Linked DNA regions of Schizosaccharomyces pombe. Changing the gene in region 1 together with any one later gene gives a genetic interaction. Each region holds a gene or a part of one and is shown on either strand. Other genes may lie near its edges.

The links. Genes that interact genetically often act in the same process or in processes that back each other up.
Region 2: of rad57 (region 1) and dbl2, a mutation in one rescues a mutant of the other (synthetic rescue), as found in Schizosaccharomyces pombe (3 studies listed by BioGRID, with this or other methods).
Region 3: mutations in rad57 (region 1) and crb2 together harm fitness more than expected from each alone (negative genetic interaction), as found in Schizosaccharomyces pombe (3 studies listed by BioGRID, with this or other methods).

What each region holds. Positions count from the first base shown.
Region 1 is NC_003424.3:2,119,521-2,126,851, reverse strand, and holds rad57 (DNA recombination mediator, RecA family ATPase Rad57/Rhp57), read right to left. Parts: upstream 3,823-7,331; 5' UTR 3,563-3,822; coding exon 3,496-3,562; exon of another isoform or gene 3,401-3,495; coding exon 2,403-3,400; 3' UTR 2,346-2,402; downstream 1-2,345. Other genes in the region: gih35 (ATP-dependent RNA helicase), read right to left, coding at 1-119, 156-412, 461-525, 574-651, 695-785; whi2 (phosphatase activator), read right to left, coding at 1,048-1,860; gpl1 (Gpl1-Gih35-Wdr83 complex RNA-binding subunit), read left to right, coding at 4,644-6,248; mde1 (5'-methylthioribulose-1-phosphate dehydratase), read left to right, coding at 6,568-6,689, 6,733-6,756, 6,800-6,877, 6,937-7,014, 7,063-7,238, 7,282-7,331. UniProt on the Schizosaccharomyces pombe protein: Involved in recombination DNA repair and in the repair of gamma-ray-induced damage.
Region 2 is NC_003421.2:307,672-313,395, reverse strand, and holds dbl2 (DNA recombination protein Dbl2), read right to left. Parts: upstream 3,083-5,724; 5' UTR 2,858-3,082; coding exon 710-2,857; 3' UTR 501-709; downstream 1-500. Other genes in the region: SPOM_SPCC736.02 (uncharacterized protein), read right to left, coding at 1-213; qns1 (glutamine-dependent NAD(+) synthetase), read left to right, coding at 4,915-4,943, 4,988-5,104, 5,305-5,724.
Region 3 is NC_003423.3:4,208,472-4,214,077, reverse strand, and holds crb2 (DNA repair protein), read right to left. Parts: upstream 3,112-5,606; 5' UTR 2,992-3,111; coding exon 655-2,991; 3' UTR 501-654; downstream 1-500. Other genes in the region: histone lysine acetyltransferase Rtt109, read left to right, coding at 1-438; proteasome regulatory subunit rpn1301, read right to left, coding at 4,799-5,512, 5,579-5,606. UniProt on the Schizosaccharomyces pombe protein: Essential for cell cycle arrest at the G1 and G2 stages following DNA damage by X-, and UV-irradiation, or inactivation of DNA ligase. Plays a role in the response to DNA damage.

The DNA.
Region 1 (7,331 bases):
ATTTCCCTTCAATTGACATAGTGCATACTTTATCTTGTCCGAAAAACTGAGACAGTTTATTCGCGTCAACAGAAGCGCTGGAGAGCACAAGTCTAAAATCATTCCTCTTTTCTAAAATCCTTGATTTGTCAGCTATGAATAGAAAATTTAAATACCTTTTCAAAACTCCTAGTAGGAGATCTGTCGACAAAGTTCGTTCATGGACTTCGTCGAGAATGACTATTGAATATCTTTCCAGCAAAGGATCAAAAAATATTTCATTCAAAAGGATTCCATCGGTCATATATTTTATTTTTGTTTTTTCAGAAACGTTATGATCAAATTGAATGCTATATCCACACAAACTTCCAGGAGGAGAGTTCAGTTCCAAAGATACTCGTTCAGAGACGCTCTTTGCTACGAGTCTTCTGGGCTTTCAAATAAGTTAGGAGGATGATAAATAAACAAAGTTGTGACTAACCTGTGTACATCCTATAATACCGTTTTGGGACGCCCATCCAGCTTCGTATAAAAATTGAGGGATTTCTTCAAGATTATTTTTAGTTTAATAAACCATCTAATCAAAATACTTACGAGTTGTTTTACCACATCCTGTGTGGCCTAACACTATAGTAATCTGATTTTGCTCTACTGCATATAACAACTGGTTTCCTAAATGTAACGTCAGCAATGTAAGGGTAAAACAGCTACATACTGTATTTGGTGATTGGTAATAGCTTTTTCTGAATATTTAAGGGTGTATTTGTAAGAGTACTAAGCGATTGGGAAATAAACTCATTAGGCATACTCTTGCGTAGAGAGCATCAAGTAAGTGGAAGCACTTTCATGTTACCACAACTAGATTGAACGTATTGTAATATTTATAAAAAACAGTATTAACAAAATTCAAATAAAAAATTATTATTCAAAATAAATATACTACAATAATTATCACGCAATTTGAGTAAAATCTGGGAAACCTCGTAACATTGGTATCTGTTAAAAGAATGGCTGCATGCACGGCCTAACTTAGCAAAATGTTTTTTAATCTTATTTTTACTAAAACACTTAGTCTTGAGAATTTTCACGATTTCCCATAATCGTAACTTCCAACAACCACTGCTTTCTCCTCCAAACATTGATTAAAGATCCGTTTACTTTTATAACTTCGTTTATCCACCAGCACTTATTACCTGGCTGTCCCCATAGCTTCAAAATTTTACTCAAAAATTCTTCGCTTAATGAGGAGCTCTCGACTGTTGTTATGATATACGACATTAAGCTCATTAATTTTGGCTCCTTTACTCTCTTGGCCCATTTATCGTTGTAGCGAAATCCACAATGCTGTAATGCATCAACTAGCGGTCCATCACTCAGCCCTTTTCGGATTTTTTTTTTGTCTGCACTTTCAAAAACGTCGTTGTTCTTGAAAGTTTGCTCTAATAAGTCGCTCCTGATTTTTTGGTCGACGGGCTTTTTATTTTCAGAAAATAAATAGATATTGCAACATTCTGTTAAGAATAAAACGAGGGTAGTATTCGATATAGGATTAAATGCAATTTTTGAGGGATAAGCATTATTACTTTTTTTAAATAATGGTAGATAGGTGTCCAAAATCCATTTACAAATGGAAGGGTCGATTTTGTGGCATTTGAAACATGATGAGACATCACCTCCCTCATGTTTTAAAAGCAGATGAAACCCATTAGGAAATAGAAGTGCCAACACGGTAGTTGGTAATATTGGAAGTTCAACGCGATCAATGACTATTAGTTTGCCCCGGATGTTGAAATGTATTTTTTCTGGAAAAAACTTTAAATTACTTTCCAGTGTATTGGCTAAAGTGTCAACCGTATTGATTCGATCAATTGGAACTGACATTTTTGTGTTCTATTTTTGTAACGATTATGTTATAAAAGAATGTTCATTTTTTATTTACAAGATATCACCAATGCATACTTGGCTTTTGGTAAAAATGTTAGGTGCAAATTTCTAAAGGATCGCCAATAGCGGAAGCTATCGGAAAGGTCTTACAAAATCTTTTACGCGCAATAGTAAAAACAGGTAGAAAAAGCCATTCGTCGGTTAAGAGAGCTCTTTGGGCATTCTTTGTTACGTGTAAAACTTTTTATTGTATTTTTTTCCATTTCAATACCCAACTGGTATATCCAAAATTCAGTCCACTAAAGTATGTCGGATTCTAATAAAAATGCACTACCATCATAGATCAACAAAATATATATTTAATAGTGACAGAGGTAATATAAATATAAAGATAAATAAGTACACTTATATATGTAACAGTTACTCAAAGCATTACTTTTCTTTCTGCGAATGATTGATAAGCGACAGTCGATTAAACAAAGTTAGGGCAATTCATAAACCGGTTTTATTATATTATATATAAAATTTTTACAAAAATGCTAGCACGAATATATCCCAACCGATCCTATGCATATTCGTACGTCAAGCCTTGGAGAATTTGGTGAATAAACAACCCGAAAGATTCTCCCCGAATTATTGGTGGCAGAGTCGGTTTTCTTAATTAATGCTAATCTCGTACTGATGTTATTAGTCCAAACGAGACCAAGAGATGGTATTTTGGGATTTGGATCTGTGTCATCCCATCCCGAAAACCATTGCGATTGATAATCTAAACTAAACAACCCAATAGCATCATAATCTCTAGGAATTCTATCGCTAACTTGGTTAGCTATGACAACAGCAGCTTCATGTTGATGAGCTAAAGTGCGTAGAGTCATAGCTAACTTTCCCAATTGATTTCCACGTTTGGCAATATTATCTAAATCTCTAAAATGACTTTTGGATCGGTTGTAACGGAGCTCAGCTCTGTAGTTGGAGGCGACACTATCCAATATAACCAACCCAATTTTATCCCGATTGAATAAAATCGGCAGTTGATACTGAATGATATGTTCTTGAGATTCCAGATCTGGGCATAATATAGTATACACCCTATCTCCTGGATTTTTTATAATTATGTCTTTCTTATCAGCTTTGGGATACCTTTCTGGTAAATAACGCGCCAGTTCAAATAATCGTTTTGTTTCAAGACCGGACTCTGTAGAAATGAAGACAGCTGCTTTGTTCATTCCTCCTAAACTGAGAGGTAGTTGAACCATTAAACAAAGCTGCATACAAAACTGTGACTTCCCTGAACCGCTTTCACCACATATTTCAGTTAACTGTCCTACTGGTATACCTCCATGTAGAGTTTCATCCAACTTTACATCGCCAGTTGTCAAATATTTCGAAGTGACTTTGGAAGCAGAACATCTTACTGGTTGAAGAAGGAGGGATATCTGCTCAATTAACTGTAATAACTCACTTTGACTACAATGTGTGCGTCTTTCTAGCTCAGTAATATCCAGCGTTAACAAATCAACCGTGCTTACTTCTCCTAAAGCTGTCAGTAATTCCGTCTTTTAAGATCCCGGTACAAAAACCCAATATTTTTTTTTTATGTGCAAGCTTATTGAACTACTAAACGCTTACCTAATTCAAATGCTGAAGCAATTTTCTCATCAAAGTAGAAATTGTCAACATAATTCGAAATATCCATCCATATAGTAGAAAGAAAGAAGATTTTTAATTGTAAATATGATATGTATAGTTTTTACTCATAAAGATAAATGAAAATTATATCCACACCATAGAATATTCGAAAGTTGATAGTTTTATATAATGAACAGCTTTGTATCCTACGATTGAATTAAATTCTCACGATTATTTAGAAGTAATAGCACGAACTTCTAACCCACTTTTTCGCAGAAAGAAACGGTAATTTATGTACCACTATAGAAGTGGTGAGTCGAAGATGTTGTACGCGAATTACAACTGACCTGCCAATACCTCTATGTTTAGTAATTATAATCCTTATGAGAAGAAGCCCCGCAATCGACGAATATTTATATGAACATTGGTTTTTATAGAACATTAGCATAGTAACCGCTTACACTTATTTTTTTAACATCTTCAAACCATACATCTATGAAAAACCCCACGTAATGATACACATACTTGCCTAACCACCATTCCTTAATTGATAATTAAGTTATCAAGATATGTGAAATTATATAAGCAGCATATCCAAATGTGTATTGCTCATTAATTGTTAGGCATTAAAATTCGTAGTATGGTTGAGCAAACGAAGTATAAGAAATGATGTTTTACCAATCAACCGACGATAATTCGCTCAGTTTACCAGCTACCAACAAATTTCTTAGTTTATGAATGCTTGGTTCAACATGAAGTAATACTAAATAGAACTTTGTTGAGATTTCTCAATAACAGACAAAATATACATGATACATTTTTCATCTCATGAAACTTCAACTGTACAAAGAATTAGGTAATAGATAAATAACGTACCCTAACGCTCGCAGATTGCACTACGGAGGCAGCTGAAATTCGAAGCAAGGGCAACTGTTTAAAAATTGAGTATTGTAATTGCTTTTGTCAACAAATCAGAATTCTTTGATAAGTTATCTGGCTTTATTAAAAATTAAAAGTTGCTCAACATAGTATTCTTGTCGCCTCAAAAATAATGGGCTTATAGTATCCTAAAATATGCCTTAAATTTTGAATTTTGAATTTTTTTTTTTTCAGTTTAACTACGGATCACGATTACTTCTTGTTTTAAAATGTATGCCAATTCAAGAAAAAGAAGCAATGTCGATGTTCATCGGCACCCTTATGTAGTTTATGGCTCCCCTTTTGATCTTGAGCCGTCCAGAATTAATCAAGGAGTTCCTGTTTGGAAACAAGAAGCCAGGGATGAGCGTAATAGAAAGAGATTTCATGGTGCATTTACTGGTGGATTTTCTGCTGGCTATTTTAATACGGTTGGTTCAAAAGAGGGTTGGCAACCTAAATCTTGGAAAAGTTCAAGGAATGAAAACAAAAGTGTGCATGGAATGACTATTGACGATATTATGGACGAGGAAGATCGTGCTGACCAAGAGCTTAGTAAAGTTTATACTTCGAAAATAAATACGATTGATACATCTATACCAATTGATGATCCTCTACTTAGAGAATTCTCAAATAGGGACGATAGCATTGGCGAAAAAATGTTAAAAAATCTTGGATGGAACGGTCATGATTTTGTTATATCTCCATTTCAAGGGTATTATGATGACACTAAGTTAACCAACCAAGCTTATCACGGTATCGGGTATCAAGCGGACGATGTTTTTCAGCTGGAAAGAAAACCAGTTGGAATGGCAAAAAATCTGCGCGGTGGATTTGGATCAGGTGTTTTAAATGATGATGGGATAGAAGATCAAGATATATACGACCTCGGTGCTCCAAAAATGCGGTATGATAAATCTATCAACATTACAAAAAAAGTCGCTTCTCCATTTACACCCGTTAAGCATACCTTTCTGTCAAAAAAAGACAGAAGCAAAGGGAAAAGCATAATCAAATCGCAAAATTGCTCAGATGGTCTACCTCCCCTTCCAGGATTTGTAGTGGTATTTAATTTACAATCACCTTTTCAAAATAATTGGTTTCCTCCTCCTACAATACCTGAGGGTTGGGAGCCAAAACTTTTTACAAATTCTCAAGGATTTTCACAAAAAAAAGCCCAAACTTCAAATGAGCGCTTACCACTTTTTGCTGAGAAAAGTGAAACAAATTCCAACGGTGAAGCAAGTTTACCTAGTGATGTTAATCATGGTGTCAAGGAAGATGAGGGATCTTGGCAACTAATTGACATTGAGACAGCTAAAAATGCAATGTCTAGGAAAGATAATCCCTATAACGATGAGCGTGCCGGAATTTACGAGATTTTCCTTAAGGCGCACCTAATGAATATGCCACGATTACTCAGAGATATTGATTCTCGTCATTTACTAGAATTTACTCAAACAGCTTCACTATACCGACCTATGTCAAAAAATCTATCGATGCGTTTCGTAAGTTCTTTTGAAGCCTCGACTAAAAAAGAGTCGATTAATTCACATAGTGAAACTGATGATTCAATTTTGAGAAGACCTCGTACAGTTGTTACATTCATTCCCGAACGTCTTCTTTGTAAACGCTTTAATGTCGCCTTACCGTACGGTCAAGAAAAACAAAAGCGTAAAAATATTTCTTCTATTGAAAATGTACCTATTATTGCTGAAATTGAAAACAAAAGTATCGATTCAATTGATACAAGGAAGTTGAATCGACCCCAGGATATAGAAGAAAAACCAAAAGCTCCCCAAACTCTTTTCAGTGCAATATTTGGGGATGACTGAATAAAAAAATTATTAATTGATTTCTATTGTACTTTATTTTCATTAGGTTAATAGACTGTAATAAACTTTTTGTTTTAAGCAAAAACTTAGTACTTCCTATTTATTCAAGTGCCATGACACAATGTTTAATAATTTCATAAAAAAAAATAATAATTATCAAGATAGCTATTATACACATCAATTCTTTACTTCACTTTGTTTGCTTAATGTCGCGTAGATTAAACTCACAGTTACTTTTGCTACTTAAAAATTTTTAAACGTTAATGAAACGTGACCCTTTTCAAAATTTTTCATCAAGATAATTATCATCATAGTAATAATGGATGATTTTCTAAAGAAAGACTTAGGATGTCTTCGTTCTGGCGATTTGAAAAAATGTGGTGAATTAATTTGCGAAATCTGTCGAGATCTGTATACGTCGGGCTGGGTTACAGGAACTGGGTAATTACTAATTTGAATTTAATATAACTAATAAAAGAATCAGAGGAGGAATTACCATTCGCTCTGGGTACAAAGCATTATTAAAGCGTCAAATATTAACTTTCATGTAGAGATGCCATTGTAATCGCTCCCTCGGGTGTACAAAAGGAAAGGATGGAGTTACACCATCTTTTTGTCATGTCTTTAATGTATGATATTATTATTGTCATTGTTTTTATCATTTTGAGTAGATGCTAACCTCTTGCAGTACTCGAGAATATATGCGAATGCCAGCTCTTCGATTGAAACCTTCTCAGTGTACACCTTTGTTTTTAGCAGTATACACGTAAGTCAGCAAAGTTGTTGAACATTGAATTCTTTACTAAAGCAGTAGCTTGCGTGACGCATATGCATGTATCCATACCCATTCTCAGGAAGCCATTTTATTGTCTACTCTATTTGCGGATTCTGATCATTTTTCGGCAACAGGTTTTGAAGTACTATCGTATATTCCAAAAGGATCTAAAAATAATGGGTTTCATAAGCCAACAGATAAGATAAAAATTCCATGTATGAGTTTACAAACTTTTATAAAAGGCTGCTAACCGAATAGTTATCAATAATACTGCTCATGAGTCTGATCTTCATGATAGTTTGCAAGAA
Region 2 (5,724 bases), on another chromosome or scaffold:
CCTTAAAGATAATCGGTGTCTCAAACTACGAGAAGTCACTGCCAAATTCGAATTATTGGATAACAAAAATATTAATCTTAAAACTTCTAAAGGTAAAGACTCAAAAACCGTTAACGCTCTAGCTTTTCCATCAGTCAAATTATTTTTGACCTTTCTTTTCGTAATTTTTTCATTATAGTCATTTTTTATGGTCTGTTTTCGCTTTTTACCCATCTTTAACAAGATTTTTGGAGCTCACCAACAGACACTATTTAGTGCTGAAAAATTTAAACATGTATAGAAAATAAATGACTACAAAAGATAATTTAACTTAAAATATTTACAACATTTTCATAATAACCCAAATAGTTGGTTTTTTAAAAGAAAAGAATAAATCTGATACTTATTTGCTCAAAGGTTCAAAGAAGAAACTCAAGGTTTTGAAAAAGCAATGTATGTGCTACTAAAAAATGAAAATCAAAACCTAGAATTGTACTAACAACACCAAAAACAAGCTGAAATCTAATGTTTAAAAAAAAAAAATTAATTATATGTAAAAGAGCTAAATAAGTATAGCTAAAACCTAAATGAACTATGGAAAAATAAATGTTGATAATAATACATGAAGGAAACCAGAAATCAAAATTCAGTACTGTTTTTTGAATTAAAAATTATATGTAACAAAGTCGGCTTGAGAGAGAAGTTTCAACGTACGAAAGAAAAATTAATTTCAAATAAAGTCACCATCTTCGTCCGAATCGAGATCGCGTCCTTGTGTAGTCATGGCATGCTTAAATTTTAGCATTTTTAACTTTGCCCTTTTGATCTTGCTACTCGTTGAAGCAAGTGTTACTGTATTTACAAATGGCAAATCCGTAATGTTTGACGAAAAAGGCTCAATAGGTAACGAACAAGACTCTTGAAAAGTTGGTAAAATAGGAGATTTCTTTCCCGCTTTAGAAAAAATATCCGGAATTTTGGTAAGTATTTTCGGAGGCTTTTGGTTTTTGCTGGGTGAGAGATTTACAGCTCGAACAGTAGGCGAGGATGAAATGGTATCCGAAGGAGAAGAGTCCGTTTCAATAGCATTAGGAACATTTCCTTTTTTCTTTTGGACTTGGTCCGAAGAAGAAACAGTAAACGAAGGGACATTAAAAGGGCTAGAAAATACCGACACATTTCTGGATTTCGAGTTTTTAGGCAACGACGAATGTTCCCCTGAAGATATTATAGAAGTAGCTCCAAAACCGTCTTTTCTTTTCGAACCATTTGCATATTTAGGATATATCAACAAGCCTGTTCTCAGCGATACACCTGAATGTTTGGCCAAGGAAGGATGTTTGGCATGTTCAAGCACAGTAGAAGGTGAAACGTTAGGATTGACTGCATTGTTGGATTGTAGAAAGATTGAAGAAGAAGCACTAGATCCATTAAGTTCGTTTGAGCGAAGGGACGTGCCTAAGTGAGAGTGACTCCTACCAAACGAGGACGAAGATGCTGGTTTAACTAAAGGAGATGAAAAAGACGGTACACGAAACTTCACGGGTTGAAAGGCTTTTTTGTTGGGCAAAGCCAAAGGTGTTAAAAGAGATGACGAATCTAGCGAAGGAATGTGTTCATCCTCTTCTGATGCTGCATCTAGAAAATCAGGAGAGTTTGGTATTTCATTATCAGTTGTTTCTGTTACATTTTGAAGCGATGCCAGCTCGGCAGCAGTTTTGACACTTCTTTCGTACAAGTTTTTTGAGGGGTCGGTAACTGTGATATTAATAAAGTTTTGTCGTTTCCCCGTGGGTTTCCGAAGCAGAGGTAACGGAAGGCGAGTCAAACGGAGACGTTTAGAAGTAGGACTGGGTTCTGCAACAGAAGAATCTTGTCTTTGATGATCATCATTTAGCCCATCGTTTTTGTTGGAAGGTATGGTATTACAAGCGCGGGAAGAATGAGGAGATCGAGCATGATTATTAGAAACTTCTTCATTTCCATTTTCTAATGCCTTCACGGAGACACTTACGTTATCATTACTTAGGTTTTGTAACAAATGACCAGCATTTGAATTATTTAGAGTGGTAAAATCATCTGCCTCGAGATCGGCAGAAGGGGAAGAAAAAAAGTCAGAAGCTATGTCGTCTTCTCCAAATTCTTCTACAGGATCTTCAACCAAGGTGCCATTAAAAGACTTGGGTTTTGACAAAACAGGGATATATGCAATTTTCGAAGGTTTCGGTAGCGCAGTTACGGATGAGTTAGATGGGGGATAGGGAGAGGTATTGTTAGCTCGATTAGATTCCTCAACAGAAGAAGCTAGATATGAGTTTGGTCTAAACTTAGCTTTGGGTTGTATTTCCGGTGTTACTGACAGTTGATGCTTACTTGAACATCTCAAACTACCAATATCTGAGTCATCTACTCCATAAGATTGCAAATTTGCGTTCCGGAAGATCGTGGATTTTGTTGAATTTGTATGATGAGCGTGTGTTTTTAACATATTTGACGATAAAGCACCATTTGAATTGTTAGATACATCTGAGTTAGCGGAGTGAAATGGAGGCTGGAATGGTTTTAATAAATAAGCTGGCCTCTTCCCTGTCTCACTCAATTTTGATTTCCTCGGTATAGGTGGAATATTCGCTTCAGTAGTTGTTTGTAAATTCTCAACGTAAACAATAGTTCTATTAAATTCAATTTCAGAATCCAGAACAATTCTCTTGTTGTTAAGGAAAAAATCATCTACGACTCGGTTATCAGAATCGTAGAGAATTCCACGATTATTGAAGCTGTGGAAGCGCATTGTCCCATCTTTCCAAACTTTTACTTTTTTTGCTTTATCAGACGTCCACAATACTTGATAATGAAAAACATTGGAACTTGTATCCATAGAATATAAGTTTTAAAGCCTGTAAAGGCAGTTCCGAAAGGTGGCTTACGAAAAGCTTAATATTGTTGAAAAAAACTCACAAACCACCCTATTTAATAATTAATTAAAGAATAAGAGTGAGAATATCTATTTCATGTATAAACCTCATTTGAGCATTAATTGCTCTCGCTTTAGGAATGGGAATTACGTGCTTTTGTTGGATGGTAGTTAGGAAATGGTTGGTATACAGCAGAAAGTTGAAATCTAGGAAAGTAAATGATCTCAAGCCAGAAAATTACATCTTTGTAGAATCCTTAAACAAGGTTTCCTTTTCTTTTCTTTTTCTTTATGAACTACAAACGAGTTGAGCTTTTGGTTATTGATATGAGGTACTTGTTTACACGCCGAAATGATTGAAGGTAACTTTATAATACGCAAGCAGAAGCAGATTATCTCTTGAGATGGTTTCAAGAGAGATGCTTATTTTTATTAATTTTACTAATCTACAAGGTCTAATATTTGATGGGTTTTTCTTTAGTAAAAGGTCTCTTAGTGCCCAAGGAAGCAAAACTGTTAGATAATTTTCAATATCCTGTATCGAGAAACGGAAACAATGGTTAATAATCCCGATTGATAGTTTCATAGGGACAGACTGTGTGTATACATAATGATATATAAAAAAAGATGTCTTTTTTCACCTTAAACCATGAAGTTTACAGTTGAGCTTACAGAGGCAGATTGCTTCAAATATTCGTAATGTAAAATTATTTATCTTGTAAATTTGTATCTATCGTCGCATTATAATAGAGAATCTAAACATAGCAGTTGGAGATAAAACTGATTCTTTTGTTCTTCTATCGCTTTTGAGGTTTGCAGGCAAGAAAATTCATCAAAGATGATTGATGATACGATTAGGTGCAAAAGTACTTATGTTATAATTTTAGCAACATAAAAGGCCTATAGAGGGTAATTCTGCTCGAAATCTTGAACTTGCAATTCTCATCACCATGTCGAAGATAGGTACAAATTAAGTTATTAAAGTTGGTTTAAGCGCACTGATAGAAATTTACCTAAAATTTAGTACTTGGACGAAATTTAGGAGAAAAAAGCCCAAGAAGATGAAGAAAGTTGTTTCATTGTAATAATAAACCTGAAATCTTTTGTCAATTCTAATTAATACCCTTTCAAAAAAGAAGACTGATCTTTGCAATCACTAAAACTATTAAATTTATTGAGCAGCTGAAGAATCATCTGTCTATAATTTGCAACAAGAAGTAACTGAAGGGGAGTTAAAAAATGAGTATCAACCATTATGGCATCTGTCGCTTTGCTTCTTCTTCTTTAAGCTAAGTAATTTCGATTATATGCTCCAAGAACTAAGTATATTAATTAAATCATGAAATATTTTCAAGGATAAAATTAAAACAATTTTGTACTATTAAAAAAATGTAATTACTGTTGTGCGTATTCCAGATATCAGCTTGCTCTATAATCATCAAAAAACCTGTAATTATAAGCGAGTAACACTAATAAAACCAGACAGACTTTAAATCAAAAAATTTCATTTATTAGCTCGTATATCTGAAAAAGATAGGCAAATTTTTTTATTAAAGGAAGTCCCAGAAATGACTTCACTTGAGAAGATATATCGCTAAAACTAGAATTTGTATTGCAATATCAAATAAAAATTACAATTATTCTGATTTTATAAATCAATTTTTAAGCTATGTAGTAATGTACAATTAATACACATGTAGTTAGAAGAGTCGCCAAAATTTGCATAAGAAGTATTAAGGTTCTTTTTACTAATATCAGAGAGGGTCTTTAAAATTATTTAAATTTTCTTTTTCTTACTTAGGGAAACTGGCATTTTTGCTATATGATGCGAACCCTTTATTTACACTTGACTCTACTATGACAACTACCTCCTGCTCTTACTTACTGCCATAACCGTGAATAGACATTTGAATAGAAACTTCGATCTTCACTCATAGTTGGAACTTTTATAGTACGAAAAAAACATTATAAGTTAAATTACTTGTTTGGGAATAAACCTCAAGTTAAGCATTCAGTTCATTATGGAACGATATGTAACCATCGCATCTTGGTATGCTATAATCATTTTTCGTCTCAATGATCTAACTTCTGTAGTCAGCTGAACCAGTGGGCAATGGACTTTGAGGGAAACCGTCTACGCATCATTGATTCCATCAAAGAGGCGAAAAGACAAAACGCAAGCCTTCGTGTTGGTCCAGAATTAGAAGTCACGTATGTAATAGAAATGGATTTAAATGTTGCAAGTGTATCAGTGAATAAGCTAAAGTTTAAACTTCATGAAGGATAGCCATGGTCAAGTTTACTGAGTGCGACTTCGGTTGAGTTTATTCATCTTCTTGCAATATTGAAACTTGTATTTTACCTTGATATTAATTTTATGCACTGTAACTTTCTATTAACAAACGCATTAGAGGCTATGGCTGTGAAGATCATTTTCTAGAAAGTGACACTTACTACCATAGTTGGGAAATGTTATGTTCGATTATTCACGATCCTGATTGCCAAGACATTCTCCTTGACATCGGTATGCCTGTAATGCACAAAGCCATGCGTCACAACTGCCGTATTCTAGCTCTAAATGGAAAAATCTTGTTAATCCGTCCCAAGATTTGGCTTTGTGACGATGGAAATTTTCGTGAGTCTCGTTGGTTTACTCCCTGGTTAAGGCCAAGAGTTGTGGAAACTCATTACTTGCCTACTTTTGTTGCAAAGTCTTTAAACCAAACAACCGTTCCTATTGGAGATGCCATTCTTCAATGCAATGAAACCGTTGTTGGTGTGGAAACCTGCGAAGAGCTGTTTACTCCAAATAGTCCTCACATTGATATGGC
Region 3 (5,606 bases), on another chromosome or scaffold:
TTATGCGAGCTTCAAGATGAGAAAAGTGACATGTCCGTTGAAGAGTTTTGGGATACGCTGACTTATAGACAAGAGTGCTCCTCAGGTAAACTAGTTGGCTTTTTCACATTACAGCTACAGTTCTATCAAACAAGAGAATTTATTGCTAAAGATAATTTTGGTGATTCTGGTGTAATGATTCCAGCTAAATTATACAGAGTCACTTACGATACTTTATTGAAGCATCCATTTGGCTCTTTATCTGATGCACAGTCGTCAACAGAAAAGTTTCTTAGTAACACACTTTCCGCTGTACAAAATTTAAAGGATTTTCATTATAAGCGCTACAAGCTAGATATATGTGGGTTGGCAAAACGTGATGATCGTAAAAATCACAACCATTCGAAACCTGCTACGCAAGCCAATATTCTACAGCCACGAAAAAAAGTGAAAAAATAAAGGACTTTAAGTTCGTTGAAAATTTTTAATAATCCCAATCAATCCTCTCATGTAGATTTTTAGAGAAAGTTTTTGTTTAATATTGAAATTGACACTTTTCGTCAGTATTGCAAATAAATTAATAAACAACAAATATCTAAAATTAATAAAAAGCTAAATTAATGAGAGTGAAACTCAGGGGGAGTTAGTAAAAATAACTATATCAAAAAACCAAAACTAAGTAGAAATATCAGACTGACTAATAAGACATTCGACTATCCATTCAGGATCAACGACCGGACAATTAGTTTCATCTACAATGTTTCCATCCATCGTAAGTATCAAATCACACTCCAAATGTGCAACATTTGGTCTAATTTCAACGTCAGCACCCAATGCCAACGCGTGATAGACATGAGCCAAAGCTTTTTGACCCTGCTCTGTATTTTCAATCTTTTTCTGCCAAGATTTTGCTTCAGGTATAATAAATAAAATCTTTTTTCCAAATAAAGGACCCTTCCTTGCCAAAAGTCTGTCATATAAAGAATCAGTGGTATCAAAAGGTTCTATCCGTTGGGAAAGTGTACAATCTAGACGGTGTGAATAGCCAGATGCCAATAAATAAGGAGAAAAATCAACAACTCTGTTCATTTTTAAGCACTGTTTAATAAATTGAGGATGGACACACGGGATATTAAAAGCTAGAGCTTCTAAATATTTAACCTTTCTAGAAAATGTGTCAGATACAACGAAAGCTTGATTCCACGATTTACTTCGCTTTTGAGGTTTCAAATGGCGTAACTTTTTTTGTTTGCTTTTAAACGGGTCATTAAACAAAGGGCGTAAGCCTGTATCAAGAACTAATCCTCCATGATCCTGAACTACAGTTTCCAATGCACTTCGGTCATAGGCATCCTCATGCACGGGACCGCTGAATGCAAACACGCAATCGTCAAAGATGAGCTGATTACTTTCTGAATCCAAGTTCTTCTTGACAAAGGAAGAATCCCTTTCTTTCAAAGAAGAGCGGTTTCTCTGAGAATCATGTGAAGGAAGAAATGATGTTTCCTCAAACTTCATATCTTTTAAAGTAGAAAAACTGAGGTCTCTTCCTTGAAACCGCCGAATGTTCACAGGAGCAACATAAATAGTAGAAATGGGAACCGTAACCTCAATTTCTCCGTGTGCCAAAATAACCATGTCGTTGTTTAGAGCGTCCACTGCTATAAGGGATAATTGCTCATTAGTAGATCGAAATGTTTTCACAACAGTATGCTTGATTTTTCCTAATCTTGTGGATTGTACAACGTCTCCTTTTTTCAAAAAAAATCTCTTAATTTGATTTGAATTAACCGTGCTCATAGTTGCATCATCAAATTGAACCTTATACATGATGGAACTTGTTACGGCTGAATGTACGGGTGCGACAAGAGTTGCTGGGTAGTAAAAAGAGGGATATCCTTTAAAAAAAGCGAGTACACGGTTTTTAAAAGACCTTCTTGAATTCGGTGATTGGGAAGGTTTTAATGGCTTAATAGAAGCCCTAGTGAATAAACTATCAATTTTAGGAGTATCCAGGCTTAGGCTGTCAGACCTTGAGATAGCTTGATTATTAACCGATTTTCTCAGCCGTTTGTTTACAAAAATTGAGCTCACTTGACTAGACTGATCTATTACAGTCGACGGTGAAGCACTTGTTTCATATGAAGAAATCACATTAAATGGATTAGGAAAGTTTTCATCATTAATGTTTTTAGTTTTTTTTGAAAACTTGGTTTCCGTATTATCAACTTTTTCAGACGAGGGCTCAGTAAAGCTAAATTTTCGTTTATATTGTTTTTCGGATGTCTCTGGTAAAAAAGCAGGAGGAGTGGACTCTACTCGACCATAAAGAACGGGAGACCCTAGAGAAGTCGCCAGTCGAGTAGGTGTAGTCTCTACTTGACCGCTTTCTGTCTCATTTTCCATCTCATCCAAAGTGTAATCGTAAAACTTTGTCCTATGTTGAGCTACGGTTTCAGGTACAAGGACTTCTCCAACGGTTTCTAAGTTTTTCTCATTTTGAGAAACTGACAAAGGTGTATCTTTTAAAGTTGAAAGAGTTGATGGTAATAGAGAAGTAAATGGGGAAAGAATTTGGGAAGAATTAGATACATTCTGAGGAGTCAACAGCTTTTCATGGTCCGATATAACTGATTGACGATCGTATAAGCGTTTTAACACTGTATGTGTCTGCTTGGGTGAATAAGGCGACGATATCACCTTACGAGAATCATGTTGAATAAGTTCATCATCCGAAATGTCCTGGGAACTCTGTTTTGCAAAAGCAGCTTGACTAGGTACTTCAAACAACTGCGTAAGACTTAGCTCCTCAACAGCACCATTGTTATTCACATCCTTAGAATAACTAAACTCCTTATTAGAATTATCATTACTCCTAGGAGGGGAAGGATTAATTGAAGCATTCACTTTTGAATAATTGTTACGAGAAATTGCTGCTTGTGCTCCAAATACACGTTGAGAATTTATGTCAAGGCCAAATCCTTTATGCAAAGAGGTATCATTCACCTCCATAATATTGTTAAACTTTCAAACAAAATATTGAAAACATCTAAAATACCTCACAATTGTCAGAACTACAAATTTAACCAGGGCTTAACCCAAATTTCGATTTATCTGTTGTAAGCTCTGCATAAGTAACACGTTGCACCGTTACTTTATATGAAAGCAGTTAAGAACGTTTAGTTACAACACCAGCTATTTGGCTAATCATATATATATATATATTAATATGGAAATGAAGGGCTCAAGGTAGAAAAACTTATTTTCTAATTTTATTAATAATTGTTTGACCTGATGTACAAACTACAGCATGTTTCCACTTTTATTAATACGTTCGATAGGAGATTTATGTTGTTAGAATCAGTAATGTTGAAGAAGTAATTTTAAATTTGAGTTTTGAACTTTTCATCTTGACTTTTTGAAACAATCATAGAAAATAGATTTTGCTTGTTTAATGATATTTCTAAAAAAAGAATGTCAAATATAGTTTCAGGTTATATTGCTAACATTCATATCTTATTCGTAGTGGAGCCAACATACATTCGAATTCCTAATGAGTGATAACTATCGTTTATATACTTTATTAAAACTTAACAGCTGTCTACGGCCATACCTAGGCGAAAACACCAGTTCCCGTCCGATCACTGCAGTTAAGCGTCTGAGGGCCTCGTTAGTACTATGGTTGGAGACAACATGGGAATCCGGGGTGCTGTAGGCTCCTTCTTTATTATTGCTATTTAATTACTACTATTTTGTTTGAGTTGACTATCCGCATACATTGTTTATATGATTTTTTTTCATGCAAATGAAGACAAGCAGATAGACGTTATAAAGCGATTATGATTGTAATGAGCAAGTCTAAATTTGCTCAAGAGAAAGAATGTAACAAGCCATAGCTCAAAAAAGCAATTACATTTACTACGCTTTATTTTTTTAACAATATATATTACTAAATGTAACGGATGACACCGAGGTCGGGTAGCGTAGTTGGTTATTGCGCACGACTGTTAATCGTGAGGTCGAGGGTTCGAGTCCCTCCCTGACCGTTTTATGACCACTTTTTTGGCTGTTTACAAAAGTAAAATCGTTAGATTTGAAATTCAATGATATTGCGCAAAAATTGAATGTGACTACACGTCAATACTTTAACCATTTACAGTTGGCTACTTTCTAGCTTTAGTAAATCATTTCAATACTGTTCAACTTTCTAACTTATTAAGAATAGATGTTGGTATTATGTATTTGACATTACATATCCTACATTTTACCAACTGTTTTGGAAATAAAACATATTTTGTAAAACAACAATAATCAATATAAAGCATAAATAATAATGAAGTATGAAGTAGAGATACTTCGGGAGTGCAACTTCTCATTTTTAGTCGTCCTAATGTAATTCATCCTTGGCGCTCGCAGTTCATATTCATGAACATACATTGCATTTATAAATCTTAAGTGTTTAGGAAAGATAAGCATTGTATGCAAGAAAAATAAAGATTGCCTATTTCCTAAAACAAATATTTCATATATGAGAAAAAATGAAACTGTACCAATAAACATTCTGTAAAGAGCATTTTGAGCGAGCAACATTGTATTGTGTACTCCAACTTACTCTTACTCATTTTGGTAAGAGGACAAATCCTACCATGAAAGCATTTTAATTCCTCCATATTTATTTAAAAAAAAAAAAAAGAACGCCAGTAATGCTCAATTTAAAAACTTTTAATACGAATCGTCAGTGAATTATAAAGAAACGATTCAACGGATAATATTTTAAATAGAAATTTTTGATATACGACGAATTACTTAATCGAAGACATTACTCAGAACCATTATTCCTGCTCACGAAGCGAGCAATTGCTTTAAGAAATTGCAGAGCACCTCCCTCATTAGGATTGGCAGATTCGTCGAGTGAGAGACCAAGTGCTGAAATAATGTTTACACCACCAGGAGAATTTAAAGCTTGAGAAAAGCTTCTCAAAGCTTGAGCATATTGAGGACTACTAACAATAGCCAAAACCCCCTCCAAATTATTTGGGGTATCAGGAGGCATGTAAGGCATGAGTCGATCAATAACACCTTCTTGGCATAAAAGATCGGTTAAATTCGAAGGTTTGAGGATTTCGCAAAGATCGACTGTACTACCTCCAAATCCAGCCTGAGCAGAAATTGTAGCCAATAGATTCCTCACAGCTTCCGATGAATTAATTTCATCGCTGTTCGGGGCTCCAATCTCGGAGCTCTCTTTTGAAGATTCAGTTGGTTGAGCAATAGGTTCCGATTGCTCAACAGTATCCACTTCCATCATATCAGAAACCGTTGCAACATCAGAGCGGGCCGGATCTAATAAATCTTGATCCTTAATGTAGCTGTTAATTCTTTCAGCGTAAGAAGTATCGTTATCGTCTGAGGCTTCTTGCATCCAGTAAAATAGGCTATGAGCGCTAGAAGGATATTTGAGCATGTAAGCTCTCCCAGTGGTACATTCCGTAACTTTTTCAAATGTACACTCAGAAGAAAATACAATTATATCCTAAACTTGGTTAGTATCGACTAGAACTTTTAATGTGTTACAGGTGGTATTGAAAGTGATACTTACATCCTCGGGATTTTCAAGATCATTCCTT